Drosophila melanogaster: one gene and its partners. The gene in region 4 interacts genetically with the main gene of each other region. Each region holds a gene or a part of one and is shown on either strand. Other genes may lie near its edges. The genes, in order: bsk, pan, Rac1 and puc.

The links.
Region 1: of puc (region 4) and bsk, changing one suppresses a phenotype caused by changing the other (phenotypic suppression), as found in Drosophila melanogaster (4 studies listed by BioGRID).
Region 2: of puc (region 4) and pan, changing one suppresses a phenotype caused by changing the other (phenotypic suppression), as found in Drosophila melanogaster (3 studies listed by BioGRID).
Region 3: of puc (region 4) and Rac1, changing one enhances a phenotype caused by changing the other (phenotypic enhancement), as found in Drosophila melanogaster (3 studies listed by BioGRID).

What each region holds. Positions count from the first base shown.
Region 1 is NT_033779.5:10,246,797-10,252,172, reverse strand, and holds bsk (basket), read left to right. Parts: upstream 1-1,671; 5' UTR 1,672-1,892; intron 1,893-2,430; exon of another isoform or gene 2,431-2,913; 5' UTR 2,914-2,962; coding exon 2,963-3,078; intron 3,079-3,258; coding exon 3,259-3,388; intron 3,389-3,450; coding exon 3,451-3,648; intron 3,649-3,711; coding exon 3,712-3,976; intron 3,977-4,037; coding exon 4,038-4,321; intron 4,322-4,399; coding exon 4,400-4,525; 3' UTR 4,526-4,671; downstream 4,672-5,376. Other genes in the region: Ror, read right to left, coding at 109-206; CG31717 (uncharacterized protein), read right to left, coding at 672-1,277, 1,346-1,354. UniProt on the Drosophila melanogaster protein: Mitogen-activated protein kinase and key component of the c-Jun N-terminal kinase (JNK) pathway which phosphorylate and activate transcription factors involved in a wide range of biological processes including response to various stresses, cellular proliferation, differentiation and migration, and regulation of cell shape.
Region 2 is NC_004353.4:88,173-93,387, reverse strand, and holds the start of pan (pangolin), read right to left. Parts: upstream 3,034-5,215; 5' UTR 2,175-3,033; coding exon 115-2,174; intron 1-114. UniProt on the Drosophila melanogaster protein: Segment polarity protein. Functions together with arm to transduce the Wingless (Wg) signal in embryos and in developing adult tissues.
Region 3 is NT_037436.4:1,300,130-1,304,242, reverse strand, and holds Rac1 (Rac1), read left to right. Parts: upstream 1-1,559; 5' UTR 1,560-1,896; coding exon 1,897-2,475; 3' UTR 2,476-3,364; downstream 3,365-4,113. Other genes in the region: Acat2 (Acetyl-CoA acetyltransferase 2), read right to left, coding at 20-205, 266-695, 750-862, 934-1,055, 1,150-1,192. UniProt on the Drosophila melanogaster protein: During various developmental processes, regulates changes in cell morphology in response to extracellular signals.
Region 4 is NT_033777.3:8,103,381-8,108,382, reverse strand, and holds the start of puc (puckered), read right to left. Parts: upstream 3,052-5,002; 5' UTR 2,523-3,051; coding exon 2,288-2,522; intron 1,896-2,287; exon of another isoform or gene 1,644-1,895; intron 152-1,643; coding exon 5-151; intron 1-4.

The DNA of each region.
Region 1 (5,376 bases), on a different chromosome or scaffold from region 4:
TATAAAACATGTTAAGCTCATGATTTCATTAATTATTAATTCCACACAAAAGTATTTCGCTAATTATTGTTGCGGAAACTTGGGAAAACTTTCAGTGAAAATACCTACCCATATATTCTTGAGTCCACATTATGGCTCCCCACATCCTTTTTTGTAAATAAAAGCACGAGCGAAATGCAGACTATAAATGCCGAGTATTTGTTCATATTGCTTAATCTAGCTAACAATATGAAGCCTTTTGTTATTTCAATAGTCCAATTGACATGCCAACGATTCCGAAAATATTTTTGTATTTATCCTTTCGCGAAAACTTTATGTGGCATACAACATTTCATCCCCCGACGAAGTCGTTGGGGTTGTTGACTCCTTATCGATGAATCGATATATTTAGGAGTGCTATGACTCGGAACAAAGGAATTACACTATAATTTCTTATAATTAATAATCCAAATATCTTCAAAAGCTTTATTTATTTTATTAAAGATGGTTGTATAACGACTTTAGTCTCATTTAAAGTACACTTTCCCTTTTCACAGTGAAATAAGGGTAGAAAAATTATGCGAAATACACAATAATATGAATTTAACATTAACAATGTATTTGGTTAAAGCATTTATCATAATGATCTAGAGATTATCTATTGCTTTCGGTGTTCCAATCGTAACTTATCGTTACTCCATGCTGTCGACAGTTTCCTCGGTAACAAAGCCCACAATGCTAAATGCAGTTTCCTCGCTGATCCACAGAAGTCCCACGATTAGTGCCTCCAACACTCCGATGGCAGCACCGGCGCAGATATCCAAAATATAATGACGCTGGAGGATGAGCCGTGAGATGGCCACGCTTACAGCCCAAGCTGTGACCGGCATTAGGAATATGATGTGAAGCGGATACAGCTTGGCGAAGAACAGCAGCACAAAGAACGCCCGGGAGGCATGACCTGAGGGAAAGCTGAACTTATCGGGTCCAATGGTCAGCATATCCTTGCTGGCCACCGGTCGCCTGCGACGAACAAGCGCCTTCAGCACGGCCACGATCACTACGTCGAGTATCAGGCCGAAGAGCATATTGACTTGCATTTGATACAAGCTCTTCGAGCTGAGCAACCAGATGAAGGCGATCCATGAGACAAACCAGGCGATTCCATCGCATGATATCTCCAGAAATCTGCTGTGGATCCGCAGGGATTTGAAGAACGACAGATTGGAGACGGCTACTACAAAATGCTTCGACACCTGAACATCCTTCTCCAATAGGTATTTAAGTGCTGGTGATGACTGCAAGGACAAGATTTTAAAATTAGCACTTATCAGCTTATGTGATTCATCAGTGGCCAAAAACCAACCGTCCTCATATCGCTGTGTATTTCAACTCTTTTGTTTTTATTTATTGTTAGTGATGACAGTATTTCTCATTCGTCATTCGATGTATACTCGATAAGTCGAGCAAAGGAATATCTAATGACCGGAACGGTGAAATGAAACACTGCGCCAACTTAGTTTTTGGTCTTTATTAAATAAATTGCATTTGTATATGTTTATTTGTAAGTTATTAACACTTATTAGGTTTTAAACCCCTAATTAAACCTAATTTTAATCAAAAGTCGATTGGCTGACTTTAGCCGTTTCTGGTTTTGGTCCTACTGCAATCTGGTCACATCGATTTAAGTAACTTTGTTGTGATCGAATATTCCAATAGATTTTCGTATATTGTATTGTATCCATGTACAATTATTCTCATGCGAAAGTGCCGCAGATAGTTGATTCTTAAATTTCAATAACATTAACATAGTTTAAAATGCTCGCCACTTTGAGTGCCCAGTGTGTAGAATAAAATAGAAAAAAAATCGATTTTATATTTTCACAAGAAATTCTGTACTTCTTCGTTAAATGGTAAATAAATATTCTATTACGTTCCATTCACATCAAATATCGAATCACCGAAACACTCCTGCAAAACGTGCCATAATCGATTGAAAGCAATTATAGTTGTGCCGGTTATGAAAAAAATTATTGATATTTAACATAAAATGTCAACTGCCCAAAGAGTGTATGTACCTATGTATGCGCAAATGTCTAACGTTTACATATCGACACTACCCGAAGCGTAGACCGCTTTATTATCTGCAGCGCAAACGAGCGCTTTTTCGATGTACGAATACGGGGAATATCTTTTATCTGAGAGATAGTTTGAAAAGTTACTAAATTATCGACCCACATTTGTGTGGCTGTATGTGCATATGTATGTATGTGGCTTACATCTTACACATATGTATACCAGTAGAAGTTTACAGTTTTCATCCGCATACAAATCGTGTGTATGTACATATTTACACAGGCAACGGCATGCATACACATGAACGCTATGTACATCGCTGTGGTCCAACATTCCGTACTTTTATGTTTAAGCCGGACATATCGATTTTAAATCGGTTTTTTTTCCTGTGCGTGCCGCTAAACACTTTGCTCAAAGAACGAAACGCTCGGTTATTTCTGTTGGGTGTTTTTCCAACCATATTCGACATGTGTTCGGCAAACATTTAAATGCTTATCAATAGAAAAGGGGGTTCGGCATTCGAAGTCGGCTCAAATAAGTGACTGCGTTATGCAATTGTATCTTTTTGAAGGAACTCGATATTTTTTGCTCGTGGTTTGGCAACAAACTCGCCACACACTAGCCAGTAAATTTCACCCCTCGCGACAACAGAGACCCACTTAATGGCCATAACATTCTGCCGAAATAAGGCCAGGCAAAGTTAATGTTTTCCTACCCCCTAATTCCAGACGAAGTTGTCTGAAAACTGCCTCCACCCATTCAGAATGGAGCCATACATACGGACGTCTTTGCTCCTTATATAAAACAGAATCACACTGTAAAACCGTATTGATTTATCTTATTTACCCTCTTGAAAAGGCCGATATGCTCCTTGCTCTCAACTAGTAATAAATAAAATCAGTGAACAATGACGACAGCTCAGCACCAACACTACACCGTCGAGGTGGGGGACACCAACTTCACCATCCACAGTCGGTACATTAATCTACGGCCCATAGGATCAGGTGCCCAAGGAATAGTATGGTAAGTGGTTATCAATATGTTATTACATATAATACATTTAACAATTTTTTGGCTTAAACAATTAAGATATTTCGCATGAGTATGAAGTCATATTTGTAACGCTCCATTGTATATTAGATTAGATTAGATGGGATTAGCTGGAATATGAAAAAAAAAAATAACAAATTTAATGCATTTCAGCGCCGCTTACGATACTATCACCCAGCAAAATGTGGCGATTAAGAAACTATCTCGACCATTCCAAAATGTAACCCATGCCAAGCGAGCATATAGGGAATTCAAGCTAATGAAGCTTGTTAACCATAAAAACGTATGAAACTTGCACCTTTAACTTTAACAAATTTCTACTAAACATAGGTATTTAATCCGTAGATAATTGGCTTACTTAATGCTTTTACGCCGCAAAGGAACTTGGAAGAGTTTCAGGATGTCTACCTGGTCATGGAGCTGATGGACGCTAATCTCTGCCAGGTCATCCAAATGGACTTGGATCACGACAGAATGTCCTATTTGCTTTATCAAATGTTGTGCGGAATAAAACATTTACACTCAGCAGGAATTATTCACAGAGTACGTACAGTATGAATACATCTTTAAAATGAGTATGAAATATATGAAATACTTCATTTGCAGGACTTAAAGCCATCCAATATAGTTGTAAAGGCCGACTGCACTCTAAAAATTTTGGATTTCGGTCTGGCACGTACTGCAGGAACTACCTTTATGATGACTCCCTATGTGGTCACCCGATATTACAGGGCTCCAGAGGTCATTTTGGGCATGGGATACACAGAGAACGTGGACATATGGTCCGTCGGTTGCATTATGGGCGAAATGATACGGGGCGGTGTGCTGTTTCCTGGAACGGATCATATAGATCAGTGGAATAAAATTATTGGTATGTTGCTGCTTAAATAACTTGATTCTCGTTATGATTGTCAACTTTTACGTTTTTTCAGAGCAATTAGGTACACCATCACCCTCGTTTATGCAACGGTTACAGCCAACCGTCCGAAACTATGTGGAAAATCGTCCTAGATACACTGGATACTCATTTGATAGACTTTTCCCCGATGGCTTGTTTCCAAATGATAATAATCAGAATAGCCGCCGGAAGGCTTCTGACGCTAGAAATCTTCTTAGTAAAATGCTAGTCATTGATCCAGAGCAGCGGATATCTGTGGACGAGGCTTTGAAGCATGAATATATCAACGTGTGGTATGATGCTGAGGAAGTGGATGCTGTAAGTGATTCTGGCATAAACTGGATTTCTAGGAATGTTGAATGTTTTTAATCGCTTAATTGCATGCATCTCTTGCAGCCCGCTCCGGAGCCATATGATCACAGCGTGGACGAAAGGGAACACACTGTGGAGCAGTGGAAGGAGCTAATCTATGAGGAAGTCATGGACTACGAAGCACACAATACAAATAATAGAACGCGGTAGAGAACGACTTTTTCCTCCTTAGTCAGTCACAAGAAAACTAAAGCTTACCAACAATACGGCGTGTATTGTTAAATTATTACAACAAATAAAATATTCAAATTGTATTTAAAAATATAGTAACCATTAAAAAATAAAATCAATATGCGAAACTTTGTAATTTCTTACTCATCCTTGTTTTTTGAGCCCGCTTTCTTAAGTTAAATCGTTAAAATACCAGTTTAATCATTTCATTGTCCTGATTTCAGGAGCTAATTACATTTTAATCTTTGTATAAATTCATAAAATTTAAATGGAAAAGTTTAACCATATAAATTATTTCGGTATATAAAGTCGATACATACTTTTAAAATTTTGTTTCATACAAGAATATGGAAAGTAGATAATTTAGTTACCGATAAAAACATTTCTAAAATACAAAAAATTTAAAATGATGATTAAATAAAAAACTGTTATACTAAATTTAAACGAAACAAACGGTCATTCGATAACTCAATTAGTATCGAATAAGCCGGCGTGTAAATCGGGCTGGCAACTCTCACCGGTGTAGAGATCGGGATGGCAACTTCGTACTGTTATTCCTATGCTGCGATAACGATAACAGCAAAGTGTCATCGCGAATAAATGTGGGTTTGATAATAAAGAATTGCGTTGGTGAACAATAATAATACAAATGCTAAATGTATCGCGCGGATAACTAGTAAACACTGATTTCGCGCATATCGGGCATACGGGCAGCTAGACGTCTTAGGTAACACATTTCCCAGCCACATTGGCGTTGAGGTATTATTTCCCATATCCATGTGCGTTTGTAAATGATACCACCAGAGTGTGCCATATGTATCGTTGTTTGT
Region 2 (5,215 bases), on a different chromosome or scaffold from region 4:
TTGCAATAATCAACAGTTCATTAAAGAAAATAGGTACTATTAGGAGTGAGCATCGACTTCAACAGTTTTACAAAGAAATAAAGGGTTTAACCAAGTAAGGCGAAATAAAATTACATGTGTTTTGTCTTGCTTCCAATACTTAAGTCGTATGGGGCATCTATCATTGGAAAAATTTCAGTTTTCATTGATCCGGCATTTCCCTGTAAAGCGCATAGGCGCTCTTTAAACAGGTTAGTTATGGAAAGTTCCTGCGCTGTTAAAGATGCATTAGCCGAAGACAATGTCTTAGTAATTAAATGGGAAACATTTTCAGTTGGCAATGCTCTAATTGATGGCGACGTTTTCAGCTGATTAGTGATTTCGTTGTCAACATTTCCCCTTATTGCATTCGATTTAAAAGAATTTGTAGTCAGAGTTTCAATGTGCCTTGCAAGTCTTTGTTTTCTTCGGTTTTGACTTAGCCCGAAAATTCCAGAAACCATTCCAGTAGAGCATCCACTATTACTACCAGTCGATGGGGTTGAAGGTGCAGTAGAAAACTCAGGAACAAGTAGAGGATCGGTAACGATTGACTCAGCTGAACTTTCTCGATTGTAATTAAACACAATAGGCAATTGCGTTGTGACATTATAATTTTCTGTAACATCTGTTAAATTTGATGCAGATGTAAGCAAGCGAGAGGTTTCAATGTTAGAAGATGAAGACAATGAAGCATATTCTAAAATAATCTCAGCTGCAGTGCTACAAGGCTCTACGTCTTTTTTGTGGCGAAAGGTTTGCCTTGTCGAATGCCATATGCAAGTGGGTGCTGAATTTGATTCTTCGCAATCGCTTTTAACACTATCACTGTAGGATTCATGAGGGGTGCTAGCAGAGCTGGATTGATGCATATTAACAGATGATGCGAGTTGTAATATTATATCTTCTATTTCGACCAACGTTTTAGGTTTTGCTGAGGTCAAAAAAAAATCGGACTCACTTTCAACATCTGGAATCTTAGAGTGCACTGCATTTGTTTTCTGTGGCAAAATACTTTCATTAGACAGTGCTATAGCAGCTAATGCCATGATAGTATGTGTTGGTGTAGATGTATATTCACCATCTTCCTCTGATGGGAGTCCTAATCGTTGTAAGCTGCGAACATAATAGAGCTCAGCGCTGCTCCATTGATTATATAATCGTTTTACCTCTTCCAGTAAGTTTTCAATAGACTTGCGATTTCCATTTAGTTGTCGTCTTACACTTTCCTCAAGGGCTGAATTAGAGCCATTATTTACTTCAATGTGACTTTGACGTACACTTAACCTTTTCCTAAATTTACCTGAGCTATCTGAGAGATTATCTAGTTTTTTTTTAATGTCGATAAGAATGTTTTTTTGCTCCCTGATAAAATCACACGTGTGTTGTAAGTCGTACCCATCTAGGGCTTCCTTGTTCGATTTTAATTTTGGTGAGTAACAATTTTTGTCGTCTTGTTTATTTTTTTGTTCTGCTCTTTGATGAACGTTAGAAAATTCAAACAAAGGGGGATCTACACAACTTATGCTGTTTTCGATATCTTTAATTAACTTAATATTGTTATTATTATCCTGCGAAGATGGGGTTGACAGAAGCTCATCTTCTCGAAGCATGGTCTTTTTAGATCCCGAATAATGAACCATGTTGAATTTATTCGAATGAAATTCCCGTTCAGCTAGCTGAGACCGAAGAAGCCGAGCGTATAAAAGTTGTGTGGCCAAAAGCTGCTGCTGCGAGCATGGCTGCTGATTTAGCATACTATTCGTATATATACAAGAAAACATTTCATTTCGTTGGCGAAAACTGTCATTTTGCCAATTTTCTATTTCTTCAGCGGTTTGCCAAGGCTGAGAAATTAATTTATTCGGACTTAAAAGAAGTTCGGAAAACGATGCCTCCATTCCGTCTGATCTACTTGATGGTACAATACAAACTTTATCCAAATCATTGCAGTTATATTGTTCTATTTTGTTGGCAGTTAATTGCGTATATTGGTTATTGAACCCACCATCAGGGACCTGGCTCGTTTTCAAATTGATTGAACATTTTTTATCGTGCTTTTTTTGTAGATCCTCATTGCTCTTCTTTTTCTGGTAACTGATTAATTCGTTTGAGTTTAAATTAATTTCACTATTAGTTGTTCCACAGTGTGGCATTATCGGATTTTGTGGGAGCCTGCTGTTAAAATCCGTTCGGTGTTAGTCATTCGTTAACTTTTTGTTTTATATTTTATTTATATTATTTATTGGATAAATTGTATTTCAAAATTTTAAACATTTCTATTAACCTTTAGAATCTTAGTTCACCTTGATGACTCAAATTTAATTAAATTAGTACTTTTTCAAGCACCATTGTACAACTTTTCAACATTTCATACAGGGTTCGTTGTTTATAAAATTTTCTTGCAATATTAATGAGATTTAGATAGCGTAATATTTATGTTATAATCCAGAATCCATGCGTTGTTTTCATTTTTTTAATTATATAGAAATCTCATTTTAATTAACGTTACCCTGTTGCTCGACTGTTGCAATATGAGGTCGTAATTTTTTTTTGTTTTATTTGTTTGTTAATTGTAATTTCCACATTGTGTTAGAGGAAGCCACAATTGTTTTACTTATTTAGTTCACTGTTAATATGGTCAATAATCGGTTTATATACTATCTCCATTTATTCCGACATATTTATATTACTAAATCGATCAACACTATATTAGTATTATTATGGAAACAAAAGATGACATCCTATTTTTAAAACTTATATTTAATTTATAAATACACTTTATATGTAAACACTCGATTTCATCATACACTTCGTGTTATTATTCTACTTGTGTTCTAATGGACAAATCGAATAAAGATTATTTTTTTCATTTGTGTTCATAAATTGTTCTTTCCGGAAATTGTTCAACTATTTTTAGGCATTGATTCCTTTAGATAGATTTTTCGCAAAATTGTATATACTGCCACAACAATTGTCTGATTTACTCTCTTTCGGTCTTTAAAAATAAAACTTAACGATAAAGGTGTACGACGCGGAACAAGAGAGACAAGGACGAGCCATCGGCTCGAAAATAACTGCGTGAGAAACATTGCGCACAAACTTTGTATCGAGCACATGTTTGTAACGAATTTGTAAAAAAAAAGTAATAGATACTATTAAATTTGTTTTTTTTTTCATTCTTAATTCATTCTTAAGAAATAATAAAGTTGTTTAATCTGTATTTTAAAAATATGTACTTCTGTGTAATGTGAATTTTACTGCTGCGTAAATTTACATTTTTACAAGTAAAATCGCAAAATGATGTATTTTTACAAATATTTTACATGAAAATATTCATAGCATCCAATGTTGGTACGACTCTTTTCAAATTTGACTTTAATTTACATTTTTTCTATACGTAATTCCAGATTAAAAGTAACCCATTTTTTAATTTTATTCATATTTTGTGTATGTATGTTAAATTTTTTGGATTTTACCTGGCAACATAACACGTGCAAAACTCAAGTGCCTTCAGATATAGATGGCGCCATGTAATTTCAAATCATATCTACGAATATATATATTTATATATATATGTATGGGCTTCAACAACGGAATACAGTAAACTAAACAATATTATATTAAGCTTGAGTTAAATTTAAATTTTCTAGACCACCTTAACTTAAAGCAAATAATTTAACATTTTGATTTAAAAAATATTATCAAAATATTTTTTATAAATTAGTACTTGAAAATTACATTTTTCGAGGATATATATTAGAAATTTATTTATTCACTGAAAACGGTTGAAAAAATCGGTTGATTCTAAATTAAAGATGTGTAAAACTTCTTATCACTAATCTTAATTGGCCAATTCAACTGTTTACTTGCTCATAATTATGTTCGTTAGTATTAATATGTCTTCGAAGAAAGTTTATTTTCGGTTGTCAACAAAAAATATATTTGTATATATATATATAAATATTTTTCGCTTTTCACAAAGAAGTTTTTTAGACAAATAAAAAACCTACTTTAATACATTTTAAATCCATGCATTTTAAAAAAGGCCTCTAAAGTCCAGTGACTCGACCTAAGAAAAAAGCAAGAGAGAATGCTATAATCGAGTTCCCCGACTATCAGGTACCCGTTACTCAGCTAGTGTGAATGTGAAATTTCATAATTTTTCTGGGATGTCAATAGATATTGAGGAGTAAAATGAAAAAAAATTTTAAAATTGTTCCAAGGCGTGGGAGTGACTGGTTCGGCGGCTTTAGAGCGTTAAAGTGAGCGTGACAAAAATTGAAAATCGATAGAAATTTACAAGACTAATAAATCTAAATAAAATAAAAAAAATATCAACACGTTTTTCAAAAGTGTGGGCGTGGAAGTTTTGTGCGGCTTGTGGGCGTGGCAACATGAGTCAACAATGTGGCGCTGCGTCTTGGTCTCTAGGATCTGTACGGTGAATATCAACCTACTAGCTTTTATAGTAAACAACAATTAAAATAGAAGTATGCAACAGCTAGATGGAAGCCTTTACGATATATATTCTCTTAGTATATATATTTAGTATATATATACATTTAGAATAGATATATTTAGTATATATATATATATATTTAGTACATATATATTTAGTATATATATATTTACTATATATATATATTTACTATATATATATTTAGTATATATATATAGAATACATGTTCCTGATCACTAGCAGAGTAGTTCCGGGAACTAACAAACCTAGAAATGTTAGGTTTCGAAATCATAATAGTTACACTTTTTGTTGAAATTAACATATATATTTATATATATTTTATATTTAGGATATAATTTTTGCAAGGATACAAACAAATGTTACATTTTCAGAAAATATATCTCAACAAATTTTACAAATATGTGTTATGTACTCAAAGTTTAAAAAAGGCTGACGACAGAGGTTTAAAACCGTTATGGATGTTTTTAAAAAATTAATATTAATAATATTTAATAATTTCAAAATTGTATACAAACTAGGTAAAGAAACCGTGCCAAAAAACAGTAAAAACAACCTTTATCAGCACATATAGAATATTCCGTAGCTTGACCTTTTTAAAAACTGTAGTCGATCTTTTCCTACGAAACTTGCGTATTTTTTAAAAAGTAAGCTTAAGCAGTTGAATGAAATAAAAGCGAGATGATTAAAGTTAAGATTTAGTAGGAGAGACATGCA
Region 3 (4,113 bases), on a different chromosome or scaffold from region 4:
GGAATTTCCGTGTAACTACCAATGCTTCCACAGCTGTGACTGGTCCCAGTCCCATCACCTTTGGCTCAATGCCACTCTGAGTCCAGCCCACAATCCTAGCCAGCGGCTTAAGACCCTTCCTGGCCACCTCCTCGCCGGACATCAGTAGTACGGCAGCAGCGGAGTCGTTGACGCCTGAGGCATTGCCAGCGGTTATAGAGCCGCCCTACATAAGCAAGAGAAAGTGGGTTAACTCTCGCTCTTCTTGTATTTATCTTAGACCCACCTCTTTGAAGGCTGCCCTGAGCTTCTGTATACCCTCGACGGTGCTGCCCGCCTTGATGTACTCATCCTTGCTGAATGTGGTCGTACCCTTGCGATCCTTGATCTCCACGGGCACAATCTCCTTGTCGAAGTAACCCTTTTTTTGGGCCTCCTCGGCTCGATTTTGCGACAGCACGGCATAGGCATCCTGGGCCTCACGACTGATGTTATACTTATCGGCCAGATTCTCGGCAGTGATGCCCATGTGTATGTTCTCCATGGCATCGGTTAGGCCGTCGTGGATCATCGAGTCCACCATAGTGCCCGGACCCATTTTGACGCCCTGCCGCAGATGCATGACGTGTGGAGCCAGGGACATGCTCTCCTGACCTCCTGCCACAACAATCTGTGCGTCTCCCGAGCGGATGGCCTGGTAACCCAGCGCTACAGTTCTGGAAATGGTAAAAACCATTGTAAATGTACGGAATTGTACGGGACAAACTCACTTTAAGCCGGAACCACATAGCATGTTTATGCCGTAGGCTGGCACCTGAATGGGCAGACCCGCCTTGAGTGAAGCCTGACGTGCTGGATTCTGACCCTGACCGGCGCTTAGAGCCTAACAAAGATATTTACATAACAAATAGATCGGTAAGATAGGAGGAGAAACAGTTATGATATGGGTCCCACCTGGCCCAAGATGACTTCGTTGACCTCCTGGCCCTCCACATTCGCCCGCCGGAGTACCTCCTGGATGACCACGCTGCCCAGGTCGGAGGCCTTCAGTTTAGAAAGCGTTCCATTGAAGCTACCTGTTGATTTTTCAGATTGGACAAACACGAAGAGAAAGTTTCCAATTAGAATGTGGTTATCGTGTATGGTGCAGCCGATTTATCTTGGTTTTACCAATGGGCGTGCGGGCGGCGGACACGATGAACACGTCAGACATTCTGGATGGGCAAGGAACAGGTGTTATTGACTTGGCTATTGAGCAGCAAATAAATTCTAATTTTCGAAATTGTATTATTTGCTGCCAGAAGTGTGACCAGGTGCAGCCAAAGCCCAGAAGCTGCACTTCTGGGGCCCAGCCCTACTAAAAACAGCTTGTTCTCACTTCAAATCACTGACATAAACAGGAAGACAATGAAATTATATATTTTGTAATTCGGATTTAATTATAAGTAAATGCGAAACTTAAGGGTTTTATGTTTGCTTTAAGGACGAAGCCTTGAAATAATTTACAAATCTTAGGGTGACCATTTCAATGCAGTTTTAATTTGTTTTAGTATTTTACAGCTTTCCCATGGTAAATTTGAACAGTCCAGCCGCGGTCACACTGCAGTACACAGAAAATTTACTTTTTTTGTTGAGAAAATTAGGGAAATTAACGCACAAAACGCGAGTTAAAGAGGCCCAGAACGTAAGGCGCGATCATCAGTCGCCCCGAGGACCACAAGGCACTGGAAAAGGAGTCGCGCTTCCAGAGATAACCCCGCAAAAGGACCCACGCAAGCAACAGTCCTCCGCCGCCGCCCCAAAAAGAACCAAAAACGCCTGAAGAAGAAGCACCCCCGCAATCAGAAATCTGCAATCTTCAATCTCCAATCTCTAGGCACATAGCACTCCAGTCCAGAAAGTCGAGGAAATCGAACCATGCAGGCGATCAAGTGCGTCGTCGTGGGCGACGGAGCCGTGGGAAAGACCTGCCTGCTGATCAGCTACACGACCAATGCCTTTCCCGGCGAGTACATACCCACCGTGTTCGACAACTACTCGGCCAACGTGATGGTGGACGCCAAGCCCATCAACCTGGGCCTGTGGGATACGGCCGGGCAGGAGGACTACGACCGACTGAGGCCACTGTCTTATCCCCAGACCGATGTCTTCCTCATCTGCTTCTCGCTGGTGAATCCGGCATCGTTCGAGAACGTGCGGGCCAAGTGGTATCCGGAGGTGCGCCACCACTGCCCCAGCACGCCCATCATCCTGGTGGGCACCAAGCTGGATTTGCGCGACGACAAGAACACAATCGAAAAGCTGAGGGACAAGAAACTGGCGCCCATCACCTATCCGCAGGGCCTGGCCATGGCCAAGGAAATCGGAGCGGTCAAGTATCTGGAGTGCTCGGCCCTGACGCAGAAGGGTCTGAAAACCGTTTTCGACGAGGCCATCCGGTCGGTTTTGTGCCCCGTGCTGCAGCCCAAGTCCAAGCGCAAGTGCGCCCTGCTCTAAAAGAGTTAGACAGTTGGTCGGTGGTGTTCCACCGACGGACTCTGCTTAAACGTAATATTATTAACTATAAAACCATTATGTAACCTAAGCGTGGCCAGGCTAAATGGCTCATCCGTAGTTTCTTTGTTACAATTTTGCCACTAATTTCCGCTGCTAGGGGGGGATTCCCCCAACCCAACCCAACCCAACTCTTGCTTTTGTTTCGTTTCCGAGTTCTGAGTTTGTTTCGAGTGTTCTGTAATTCATAATCCAATTATTCTGTTTATTCGTGCATTAATTTCAACTAAAAGTTAAAAGCGAGATGTTTCTAGACGAAATGGAGAACTGTAAACTCTAACTGTATTTTGTATTATTTAATAACTTTTGTAATTAAAATTAATGTTGTAAAACTGAGGTAAAACCAAAAACAAAACAAAACAAAAAAAAAAAAACAAACGAAAAACCTAAAAAAAATGTGAGACAAGTACGAGAATAGCCGCATAATGAGCATAAAGCATAGATGTCGCATAGATGTTGATCGAAGGTCCTGCGGAAGGGATCAGGATATTGAGTCAGTAAAGTAAACGTTCCATTGCAATTACACTTACATTATTACATACTTGTATTTAGATGTTGTTGGATATCGAAGCGACGGCGCGGGCGAGTAACAACTTTTTAAACTTTTGCTAGATCCAGGAACTATCAATATATATACATGTATGTATAAGATGAAAAGTCCTTCGTATACTATGTACTGAATTAAAGGCATCAAACTGAGCAACTTTGAATACTTTGTATTTTAAACGACAGATATTCAAGAAACAAAAGAAAAACAAAAAACATGAACGAAGCCAAGATAATTATATAAATGTGTCTATTTCAATGGAAATCAATAAAGCATAATAAAAGGAGTTTTGGTTTATTTATTGTGATATGTTTCTTATATTCTTCTGACATATCATATGTAGTGAATACTAGAAAACGATCTGCGCATATTAGGGAACTATGAGTGGGAAAGAGCGTAAAACTAGTTTTAGCTAAGTCGAATCACTCATCGAAAAGATATCTGAGTGCTCTTTTCTTCTCCAAGATCTTCGCAGCACCAGCACATATACTTACTTACATAGCTCACGCATTCAAATATTCTTGATTGTTTATCAAACTCCATTCGTCAATGGCCGACATTGGCCCTCGCTCGAGTGCTCACTGTACCCACAACGGAGACAGACTTATCAACGCCGAAGAACGAATTATTTTGCTTATCTCGGCGAAAGTCGAGAACCGAAAATAATCTAAATCAGCTTGAAACAAAATAACCGATTCCCGGAGCTCCTCACTTCTGGTTCTACACCGAGAAAGAAGTATTTATGGTTAGCATGAAAATAAAATATAAATATATAGAAGTAAATAGAATAAAAGCATTTTATTGAACATGTTGCAACTAAACTCTAAAATGATCTTGTTAATAATAGTTAGATGTAAAATGTAGTATCAAGTCCAGATAAGTGGCAATCGTAGGCATTCAAGATTCCTATTGTTTTTTCCGGTGCACTCACACTCTCTTTGGAATGTTCTCGCAGCTGGAAATAAATCGGGCTACAGCGAAAATCATTTATGTTTATACATATGTTACACAGGCAAAGGCGGCGTATCTGTGGC
Region 4 (5,002 bases):
TTACCGTAGACCGCCGGACTGGAGCAGCTGCGGGTTAGCGCCGGCGTCCGTCCGCCGCCGTTCATTGCCGTTGATGATGACGTCGTCGATGTCACTTCGTCACATGCCAGATTCTCCCTGGACCGCTTGTTGGGATAGTCCTTCTGATTGGCTGCCGAGGGAAGGAGACGAAGACCAGAAAATACGCATTAATGCGGTGATTTAAAAACTGATTTTAATTGGCGGTTAGCGATTTGCTTAATTTTATAACCCATGATGTCAGCACGGACCGTGTATGGACCGCAGTGCGAAAAACTTGTCGCGCCAGGTTCCCCGTTCAAAAAAACCGCAAAAATATTTCGTTTCGATTGCCGCCTGCCAAAACTGACGTAAGACATTTATTTCGGCTCTAGAGTTTTTTTTTCTTCTTTTTCGCCTGATTACGAGCGAATGCAAAGCCAAAGTTTTCCACATTCGCTCGCAGCTCACAAGTCGCTTATCACAGTGAGCAGGCATAATTAGAGAACGCTTTGTAAGCTAGCCCGATACCAATTTGATAGTATATTATAGTAAAACACAATCCAGATTATTCATTTATAGGTAAGTCTGAACAAAAGCTGTCAATAACAAATAGTTGAAAACTTTTTTAGTACGGCAATCTTGGGTTTTTAATGCTGGTATATTTATGTTCTTAGCATCATTCTGATTTCTTCGAATATTATTAAAATTAATCTTGTAGTAAATATTTGTTTTTAAAAACTTCAAGTACGATTTTCCCCCTACACTAAACTTTAATTTTAAGCCATGTTCCTTGATTGAAGGGTATCATTTCAGCCGTCCGTCAAAAGAAAAAACTTGATAAGATAACCAATGCTACAGTTTGTATTATGTTTTCAAAGTGGTCTTAGGAGTTCGGACTGTGCTGACTTGATCAAATCGACTTTATCAGCCTTGCCAGAAAGTATAGTCTCTTTTATGCTGAAAAGCAAAACAACTTCGAGCAAACTACTGGGGTACAAAATTGCTGTTATCAGCCAAGCGACCTCAAAAGCCAAAAAACAACACAGAAAAAAGCAACAGCCTCAAAAAAAGTACAACCAACTTTTCACCGCGGCAGGAAACGTTGGTTATGTTTTTTTTTTGTCGCTGTTGTTGTTGTTTGCGGCTAGTAAAACAAGTAAAATCGCATGCCAATAGTGCATTGCAAACCTCCAGGGGCGTCTGGGTCTGGAGTGTGTGGGTTTCGAAGGGGGCCTATGGTGTGGGAAACGGGGGGAGTGGTGTGAAGTAGAGTAGAAAATAGGAAAGTGCTAATTAGTATACAGTGGCTTGTTTACTTTTGGAAATGAGCTATGCATCAGCTTTCTGTTCACTATTTTGTCCAACTTTTGGGTTGCGATTCGCCATTATGTTTACTGTTATTAGTAATTCGCTGTTTATTGTCTAAAAAAAACTTGGCAACAAGGTAGTAAATCTTTCACTTTAAGATGATATTAATTTTAAGTGATTTATAAAGCGATTGTAATGCTTCAACTTATATTATATTTAATAAATTTCAACTATTCTGTAAATGTTTTGGAACTTTGACTCAACGAGGGCACCCCTTTTTAGTTTCGCCCCTGGCCCTTGCAACTAACCCTTCCTGCTCTTCCGCTCTTTCTTACCGACTCCCAACTTCAGTTTTGAGTTGTTGCCGCGGCTGTTGCTTTTTCTCCTTCTGCTCCCCTTTTGGCCTCCTCCTTCGCACGCTTCTCCCTTCTTCTGTTGTTGTTGTGCCGATGAATTCGTACTCGAAAGGTCGTTTCAAAGCGGGTTTTTCAGCGTTGCCAGGCCGCTTGAGAAACCTGCTTTGCTTTACATTTTTTCTGTTGTTTTATTTTTTTTATTTGTACTCGTATTTTGTTGGACTGACTGATTTTTTTTTTCATTTATCCAGCCAACAGAAACGAATCGAAACGCTTCTTTTGCTTTTATTTTTGAAAGACACGCGAATTGTGAGTCACGTATGGAGCGAAAAAAAGTAACTGACTCTGAGTCTGATCTCTCTCGAGTTCGTTTCTTTTTGCTTGTTTTTGCTTTTGTAGAAATGAAATGGAGACGCTTACGTGTGCTCCCCCTCTCTTTCGCGCCCCAGCAAAAGTAAACAGCATGCCGAGCGGTAAAAATCAAGAGAGCAAGAGAGAGGGATTAATACGTTCTCCCTGTCCCGCTCTTTTGATTGGTTTGAGTGTAATCTTAAATTGTACGATTTTTCTTATTGCTTATTTCTGTTGATTTGATTCTTTTTTTCGCTTCTTTTTGTACTTACCACCAATGCGATTGTTGTTGTTGGTATTTTGGATTGGCATAAATAACAGAAGACACGGCGCTTCTCGCTTTATCCGCATTTTCATTTCACTTTGTATATGACTCACGCTGTCGCCGTCTCCGTCGCACTCACAGCGTCCGTTGTGGCTGTTGTTGTTGCGTGCTGTTGACGTTGCCGTTGTAGTGTTGTTGCTATTATTGTTGCTGCTGCTCTGCGTTTCTCGATTCACACACATATGCACGCGCTCACACTACACACATACACATGGGGGCCTTTGGTTGTTTTAAAATTGATATATGTATATTTTATTTGTTGCTTTCTGCCCGTATAATAATCTATATTATTTAAGTATGATTTTCGGTAGGAGGGCTTTATTAGATAATCCCCGAGCCACTTGTTGAGCCACTTCCCGTTATAAAGTGTGTTGCAACCAAAAGTCGGGGGCCCAGAAATCGAGTTTTATTTCCACTTGTAGCACGCACACTTATTTTTAATTCATTAATCGAAAAACGCGCGGGTTGTAGATCTCGTTTTTATATTTTATTTTAGTATTAATTGTTTGCTTCCTCTTCTCACGATTCGTGTTAAAATTATTGTATCCAATGATAAATGTTTTTACCAGAAATATTCTAGTTTTAATTTCCTACTGTTTTCGCGCGGAGCTTAGTTATTTTTCGAACTCGTTGTGCAAAGATGTAGACACAACCGTTCGAAGCGGTATTCAAAAGGCGAATGAATGACCGAATGAATGAGCGCAAGACGAATGAACGGGCGCAAAACAAATTTGATAACCGAATTTGATAAAGACGCGATTAGTGTGACCAGAGGCTACTACAGTTAAAAAAGGCTAACAAGCTGAAACTTTACTCTACGCTCACCAAATTCACCAACACTGAAGACTTTGCGGTTGAATTTGAAATTAAAGTATATATAATAGCCACAATTGTTGACAAATGAAGTTAAAATAAGCTATTACATACTTTGACCTATGATCATAATACAATTTTTATTTATTTATTTTTTATTTATTACACGTTAAAGGTTAATTATTTTCGAAACATGCTGACATTTGACTTTGTATAATTGCTTTTGACATGCTGTATATATACTAATTTTCTTTTATCTCGGGCTCAAACCTTTTGTTAGTTTATATTGATGAATTCCATTTATTCATTATAATTTTTATGAATATAGCAATGCTCGTTATAAACCTCTTTAAATTCTTCGTTGTCAAAACATTTTATTTGTCACTACAGAGATGCGCTCATGTCTACCCAAGTGCCTCAGCAAACCAATCCCAACCAAACCCGTCAAACCCCACCTGAATCTCCGCAACCCAGTAACATGGAACAAATGTTTGCTCGCTTCGAAGGAATGGTCGAAAGGATGATGGAGAAGATGTTCTCGCAAATGACGCAGCTTGTTGCTTCCATCCTCAACGCAAAAGTATGCAAAGCCTAAAAATAGTTATTTGGAATGCTAACGGCCTGCAGAGGAGCAGAGCCGAGGTGGAACACCTCCTAAAAACAGATGCCATCGATGTACTACTGGTATCAGAAACCCACTTTTGTCCCAGATCCCATTTTAGCATTAGCGGCTACGATGTCATCCCTGCCAACCATCCATCTGGCAGAGCGCGCGGAGGAGCAGCCATGCTCATCAGGAGTGGCATCCAGTACACGGAGCTACCTGCGTTTCAGGAGGAATGGGCCCAGTGTGCCCTGGCCAGAATCTCCAGCCTACATGGAGACATCACCGTTGGAGCGGTCTACTTCCCACCTAGACACTCGATCACCGAGACTCACCTACAAGATTTTTTTGAGTCCTTTGGACCTCGCTTTATAGCAGCTGGTGACTTCAACGCCAAACACTCCTGGTGGGGGTCCCGCTCCATCAACCCCAAAGGCAGAACGCTCCACAGATTCCTGCAGAGCAGAAGACTGGATTGCCACTCCTCTGGTGAGCCTACCCACTGGCCTTCAAACCCTTCCTTGCTGCCCGACCTCCTGGATTTTGCTATCTCCAAAGGCATAGGGCAAGACAGACTAACTTGCTCCAACTATAACAAGCTGATATCCGACCACAGCGCTATAAAAATGCTTCTCAACATCCCCGTCCTCAAAAAAGAGTTGCCCAGAAGACTCACCGGGAAGCACACTGATGCCTCCAAGTTCACACTCTGGATGCTGTCCTCCCTGCACCCGGATCCTCCACTCTCCACTCCAAGCAACATCGATGCGGCAATCAAAACTCTCACGGATGAGATGTACAATGCTGCTGAGTTTGCCAATCCTCCTCCTTCAACGTCCCCAAGAACTCCCGGTAGAGACCTTCACCTCTGGTCTCCAGAAATTGCGGCCTTCGTAGCGGAAAAAAGGCGCCTCAGGAGAATCTGGTTCTTCTCGCGCAACCCAAGGGACAAGGCAGCACTCAACAGAGCCATCAAGGAACTCAAGGACAAGCTGTGTACCCTACGGCAAGACTCCTTCGACAGATTCCTTGAGGAGCTGGAACCTGGTGACCCGCAACATAATCTGTGGCAAGTCACGCGTCATATCAGGAGGCCTGCAAAGAAGGCGTCGCCGGTGCGCAAAGCGGACGGCTCTTGGTGCCGCTCTGAAGCCGAAAGAGCTGAAGCGTTTGCAGATCACCTCCAGAATGCATTCTCACCATTTGACAGATGCACTGGCGAAGAGCGTGCTGCAACCACCAGGT